Kluyveromyces lactis: one gene and its partner. The protein of the gene in region 2 interacts with the protein of the main gene of each other region in a pairwise test. Links are inferred from orthologs where the notes say so. Each region holds a gene or a part of one and is shown on either strand. Other genes may lie near its edges.

Region 1 (4,114 bases), on a different chromosome or scaffold from region 2:
GCTAAGGCTTCAAGAAAATTTTTCTGCATTTATAACCCTTGTGATGGCTACAGGTATGTGATCCAGTTCTGCCCGGGAGAAAACCAAGATTTCTGGAATAAGGGCAATATTTTAACTAACTTAAAAGAGTTTTTAGGCCCCAATTATCTTTCCTGGTTTATACCTTCCATTTTAACACACAAACAAAGTTATGGTAAATCTTCAGCTAATTACTATGATCTAATTGGAGACTGTAACGAAGTGATGAGCGAGAAATTTCAGAAGTATATGATCGATAAGATAGAACGAAAAGAGTATGTAACAAGATTGGTAGTATAGACATATAGAATCAATGCTTATCAATCCATTCCTGCATACGTCTAACTTTTATGTATTTCCATAATGCTAACACTGATGAATACTCGATTTCAAAGATTAAATATGCCTACACGAAAAAGAACTTAGTACTATTTAAAGGGTATATACAATCATTTCGAGGCTGAAAGACTTGCGAAACTGGAAAAATGTTTGACAAGTTCAAGTTCAGTTTTCAAAGTTTCATATCTATAATTGACTCTTATATCTGGAACATTGGTTTTTTCAAGATCATTCCCTTCGATACCTTCTTTTTCAAAGTGTTTACCGATCCAGTGCCTTTTAATTTGAGCTTCCCAACCACTCTGCATAACAGAGTTTTTGGCAAGTTCACACATATCAACGTTGGACAATTTGTATATTTGTGCAGCAACAGAATACTCTTCAATTAAAGGTTCTCTAGTGTAAGAAAATTGCAATGGATCATCAGTTGAAAGCGAAACATTGAGACCTCTTTTGAAATAGTATTGGAATGGGTTCTTATCGTACGTCAAGAACAACGCGTTATTTGATAATGGGGACATAGCAATCCCAATTTGATCCAAATAGAATAAATATTGTACGAATGGAATCTTTCTCAAGAGTATACCATGATTAATTCCTTGAGCTAACAAGTAAGCTGAAATTAAATGTTCAGGATCTCCTGCCTCACCACAATGTGGTCTTAAGACTAACGTATTGAAACCACGCTTTGCTCTCCACCAGTTCAAAGATGCAATGTTCGCGTACAAGTAGTATAGTTGGTACGAATATGGTGGATTTTGAGTTGAATCCCAAAGAGTTGGTTTTGGATATTTTTTCTGGAAGCGCCTATCCACTTTAGATTCATCATCAACACTATCAAAACCTACAACGCGTTGTAGGAAAATGTGTAGCTTAGGGTGGGATTGTGGATTTTGTGTTACCTCAAATAATGGCAAAAAAATGCTTTTACAGATATCAAAAAAGTTCTCGACAATTCCCGTTTTCTTATAAACATCATATAATCTTGGGATTTGGATCAACCATCTCACATTGTGAGAGATAAGCTTGTTATCAACCACCCAAGCAGCCAATTTATCCCACTCGTCAGGAGATCTTCCGTAGATAGAGATTCTGTACTCGCAGTTCTGATATTTTGAATTTTCCAAATCTGAAATGACTTCCGTTGTTATTTCAGCGAGATACTTACCATCGATATAATTGTCGGTTTTTAGGAATATCTCACGTAAACGAGATTCCCCAATAGGATTATATTTCAAATTGAATTTGTCAAACCTATGAAATGTATCCTTGTGTGCATGCATATCCAAAGTATCGATAGAAAGGTCATACCCTGACAGTTTCAACGATTGGAAGACCTCTTCTAATGTCAAGATTTTTTCATCTCTAAAAATGACCTTTTCATCTTTCGAATGGCGCAATTTATGCTTTATGAAACGAAGCAAATGCTTTTGATTCATACATGCCGAATGGTGAACGTGAGTATCTACTTTTCTGACATTGTAGAAATCTCTATGAGGGTTCTTTTTTGATACAGCAGTTTCATGATATTCGTTTAGAAGCGAATACAAATTCCAACGAGCTTCAAGGTATTGCAATCTTCTGAAAGCAAATGATTTTGCTGGACCATCAGAGGAGACAGAAATGATCTTTTCCATGTCAATATAATATTCACGTAGTGTTGGAAAGACGTTTCCAGCCTGTTTTTTGTCCTCAGTTTTAGTATCATATAAAACATAAACTTCATCGCTATTGAGTCTGAAGTCCACATCTTCATCTAAGCCAGGAATTTCGCATTCATTAATGTCAAAAGATTTTGAGTCTGGCAAATTACTGACCTTCACAACAGTTTTATTTGCTGCATTATAGGAAGGTTTTGGCGGTGGTGGATAAATTTTCCAATCAGGTCTGTTCTTCGGGTTTTGATGGTGTTTTTGTAATGACAAGGTTTGGTACTTCTCTCTCAGTTCCCTGCAATCGCTGACACTTGAATACAACTCTACCAATTCAAGAGAGGGTGAATCGTAGGAATGCTGACCATCATCAGCAATTAGGCCCATCTTATATTGAGCTGATTTGATCCGTTCTACATCTAAGATCTGAGCAGATGATGATGATGATGGCTTTTGGGACATTGGACTAGATATCAATACCTCTGGTTCCGCTTGTTGTGCAGATAGTGAAAGTCTTCGTTCATGGCGAGGTATTCCGGCTGCAGCGACTGAAGCAGCTGCGTCCAATGGCGAATTACCAAAATACGAAGGAAATTGTGATTTCATACCGAGATTCGAGTCGACGCTAGCATTGTTGCTGTGCAAGTGATCTAGTGCTAACTTTTTGATCCCTTGCTCCAATAACGATTTCCCATCATGGTATGAAAAATGGGTACTAATCGAATGGTTGTCAACATCGTTGGGATCCTCTTCAGCATCGTAAGATGTTGCAAACTCATGGGTATTTTGGTGCTGCCCGCCTTCGCCCTCATTTGGATATGGCATTTCCAATTGGGACTGTTTCATACTATTATCTATATCAAAACCATTCATTATAGACGAGCACAAAATCGTTGGGCAATTTTTTGCTGAATGAGGGATCTAATTGAGGTAGCTATTTTTCTATAAATGCCAGTACCTTACTTCCTTACTTCTTCTCCTGTCCCTCTATCTTTTATAATGTCCAGAATACTCAAACGAGATTCTTTAATCTTTTAGTCTTAAGTCTCTAGTTTATTTTTTCTTTCTTCAACTTCTCTCAACTTCTGTAATAGAACAAAGAACAAGAAGGTACCCTAACGATGCGGATAGCAAGCTTCCGATGTCAATTCTCTAAATGTGCAGGAGGGTATTACCCTCAATCTATATAGAGAAAACGCCTTAACTGAATTCAAATATTGATTCCGCAAGGCCGTTAGCGCGTATGTATTCTTGCTCCCACTGATCATATCCTGTTGGCAAGTCGCCACTAATTCCCCTGCGCCAGAACAAATCCCCATGCAAAACAAGCATGGCCCAATAATACTCGTATTCATGACTGTACAAACACACCTGCTTGTATGTTTCACAGCAGAAACCCTTGATTAGCCATGAATTGTCGAGCATCGTAGTCGCATCACTGATCGATTGGCTACCATATTTCACAAGTATACCTACAAGAGTCAGGTACCAAGATCGTATATTGAAAATGACTGTTTCCGAAGTATCATCATCATCCACAAAGAGAACATTATCATACTGAAAGCGTGGGTCGGATATCATTTTGGTCCGTATTGGTTGTATGCACTACGTTTTTATACATATTATACAATGTTACTTACTAGCTGGTGTCTTTTTTTCTCAGTTCCTTTAGGTTAATTAACGATTTCCTTTATGCTTTGATGAGGTTGCTCAATGACAAGCACTTTATTCCACTGAGAGGATTGGCATCTTTGTCCATGTAATTTATTGCTCTTGATCAGGAATATAAACCAATTAAACCGGGTCAATCATCAGGTTATGTCAGAGCCTTGCGCAAATCTCTAATGGAAATTCATTTTGCTTCTCAATTAAAAGGAAGAGTATTCTCGAAGGATTTAGTCATACTACTCTAACACCAACAAACAGGAAGACACAGTTATTTTAACCTTAGAAAGACATTTACAAGGGTCGAAGATAGTCAGTTGTCAATGTCTGTTCTACTAAATCAATTTGAACAGCCTGTTGGTAAACCAATATACGATTGGACTGTAAGAAAACTTCCTGAGGATATTGTGGTCCATGGTGAACATTGTCTAGTCGAATCT
Region 2 (3,098 bases):
CTAAAGGTATCAAAGAAACTTTAGAAGACGTTAACAAGAAAGTTGGTAAAGCTGCAGCTGAAGGTATTGAGAAGACCGAAGAAGCAACTCATCACTTGGGTGAAAATTTCCAAAATGTTGAAGAAAAAGTGAAAGGGATATTCAATATGACAGGGCAGGATGCCAAGGAAGCTGCTGACACGGCTTCAAACAAGGCCAGCGATCTTGCAGAGAAAGGTAAGGAACACGCCCAAGCCAAAGGTAGAGAGGCTGCTGCCAAGGGTAAGGAAGCCGCTGCCAAGGGTAAAGAAAAACTGGAAAATGCTGCTGACAAACTAAACGAATAAAAATAAGGAATGAGATGATGATAAAGTCCGGAATGTCGATGTCCTCTTTTCCCAATAAACCAAATTACCTGATCCTTTAAGCAGCAGGGTGACAATAAACGCCCTTGTGCTAATATTCTAGCATTCCAAATGCCGTATCTGGGGTTCGAGCAATGGAATAATAAATGTGTAGTAACCACAAATACATATATAACGTGAAACAAGAGAAAAATACAACGTAATTCTTCTTAATACTTAGTCTGAAACTTTCTGAAGCTATCACATCTTTAACTTAGCATTTGTGACCCGCCATATTCAATTCTTGTCCATCACCATGTAATCACTGTTGATTCTGTAATAGATGGTCTACCGAGGTTGAATCCGCCAGTTCTTCAGAAGTATTCGATTTCTCAGATTCAACAGGTACGCCATTTTTCCTTTTCTTAATCAACTCAAGATAGTTGTATGGAACGTACCCAATATTTCCTTGTTTTGTTCTGACTTTCCACCATTCAGAGTTATTTCCTAGTGGATCTTTCTTGGAAATGATTGCCATTAGATCTCCTTTCTTTAAGTTACATTCAATTCTTGGATTCTCAGGAACGAAATCATAGATCGCTCTTGCAAATTCTAGGTTATTAGGATCTAAGATTTGTTGTGCCATAGCGCCGCCAGCTATTTTGGCTTTTTGGTGCTGTTGTAATTTCTGAATAAATTTGTTCAAAAGGTACGGGAAGCCGAACACAGCTGCTAAAAACACAATCAATGGTTTCCATGAAATTCTTCTACCCTTTTTCTTCGTCAGATCTGAGTCCCTGAATTCTTCGATAAATTGTTTTGAAAGATCTGAGCCCTGGCTCTTTCCGCCCTCTATCCCTAAGCGCTTTTTGGAAGGCGCTACTCCCATCTTACCACCTGTAACTCTGTACAAGATCTTTTTTACGAATTTTATCAAGGCAAATATACCAAAGAATGATCCCAAAAGCTCCTTCATATATTGAAACTGTTCCGCAACGGTTATCATAGTGAAAAAAGAGTTATGGGTAGCCATATATGTAGCTTCTAACATCTGGGCGAAACCAGCAACGGCTCCTATAAGCCCTTCTATTAACTGGAAAGTTGCCTGTGTTGACTCTGCAATCCCCGAGGGTCCTCCATTCATACCGTTCATACCGTTCATCCCATACATTGATCCGAACCCTCCCCCATACATCGACCCTAAACCACCGCCGTACATCGACCCTAAACCACCACCATACATAGAGCCATAACCACCTCCGTACATGGATCCATATCCACCACCCATGGAACCCATTCCATATCCTGTACCTAAACCTCCACCATACGCCGAACCATATCCAGACATACCATTTCGAAGAGGGTTTCCCCCGTTCAAAGAATCCATACCCTCATTTAAACCGTTCGGTTTGGATGGTAAGTCAGGCTGATTACCAGATGGTTGCAACGCACTGCTATTCTCAGTAAAACTGGCATCAGTTCCTAAACTCTCAACTCCATTTTTCTGCTCCCAGGGCTTCGGTCTGGAAACACCTGCCGATTGTGACATGACTACTGATGCTCTAATAAATATGAACTTCGATCACAGCACTTAATAGAAGCCAAAACCGCTACAATCGATGTGTATTCATCACTGTCGTTACCTGTATTTAAGCTCCACGACATGATTCAATGTTACTTTTAGAATCATCGTCAATCTTTGAAATATGCTTTGGCCGGGTAACAAGTTACTATTTCCTGCGTCGTGACTTAAAGACAATAGTAGATATCGTCTTTTCATCAGCAATAGACGATATCTTTTCCACGAAGAACCGTTGGATACTTGAATGAAAATCCTTATTTCCTTCTTTTAAATATTTTGTATTTAAATTGGTTCCGAATGACACGCATATTATGTATATATGTATCCTTGTTATTATTGAAAGAATGTATAAAAGTTCGAAATGAAGCAGCTGCAATGTGAGTTGAATGTATCTACTACAAAGCTTTATCAGCAGCATTGGATAGTTGTAAATATTGAATCGAAAATGTTGTCCGTATTATGCTTGAAAAAAATTTGTAATTATCTTATGAAAAGTCCTTCTTGTGTTTGCTTTCTTCTAAAGAAGTTAATTGTATGCGTAAATTGAAACCATGCTGTAGTCTCGTTGGATTAATACTCCCCGATAATACCTCGCCTTCGTCACAATCTAATGTCGTAGTACTGTTATGAGCGGTAGTGTTGTCGGGATCGCTGATATGTAAACTAGATTCATCTGGCTTACTCTCCGATTTGGATTCAGCCAGCGCGTCGAGTTGTTCAACTGTTAAGTACTTTACCCTGTTTTTCCTTGGGCTCAGTCTGGATTCCAAAGCCTTCTGAATTCTTCTGCATTTAGCTAATTCTTTCTCTAGCTCTTTTATCTTTCCTTCAACAGCGATCTTTACTAGTGCATCTGATTTGAATGGTGGTTTATTCGATATATTCTCCCGTGACCTGTCTGAATTGTGAATTATGAAGTCTGTATTTGATATTCTTGGTAATTGTTGTATATGCTGTAATAACGAGCTGCTTTGGAAGGTCAAGGACTCATTTGCTCTCGTTAAACTATTGTTGATATCTTTTAAATTCTCGTTATCCAAATGCAATTTATCGTTATCCAGTTTCAACTCATCAATCTTCAGTTGAAGTTTCTTGATTGTCAGATCTAGTCTTTCTTTGTCGAAATGATGATCGTCAGGATATTGGAAATCATCTTTATTATTCAGCCACAGCTGTTCGTCATTCATGAAATT

Evidence for each region.
Region 1: the proteins of PEX13 (region 2) and KLLA0_D06171g interact in a two-hybrid assay, tested with the Saccharomyces cerevisiae proteins (2 studies listed by BioGRID). The link is inferred for Kluyveromyces lactis from reciprocal best matches to the Saccharomyces cerevisiae genes PEX13 and AMD1.

The regions. Positions count from the first base shown.
Region 1 is NC_006040.1:528,437-532,550, forward strand, and holds KLLA0_D06171g (uncharacterized protein), read right to left. Parts: upstream 2,883-4,114; coding exon 468-2,882; downstream 1-467. Other genes in the region: palmitoyltransferase PFA5, read left to right, coding at 1-318; KLLA0_D06193g (uncharacterized protein), read right to left, coding at 3,210-3,590; KLLA0_D06215g (uncharacterized protein), read left to right, coding at 3,998-4,114. UniProt on the Saccharomyces cerevisiae protein: AMP deaminase plays a critical role in energy metabolism.
Region 2 is NC_006041.1:1,756,037-1,759,134, forward strand, and holds PEX13 (peroxin PEX13), read right to left. Parts: upstream 1,873-3,098; coding exon 646-1,872; downstream 1-645. Other genes in the region: KLLA0_E19713g (uncharacterized protein), read left to right, coding at 1-326; MMR1 (Mmr1p), read right to left, coding at 2,391-3,098. UniProt on the Saccharomyces cerevisiae protein: Component of the PEX13-PEX14 docking complex, a translocon channel that specifically mediates the import of peroxisomal cargo proteins bound to PEX5 or PEX21 receptors.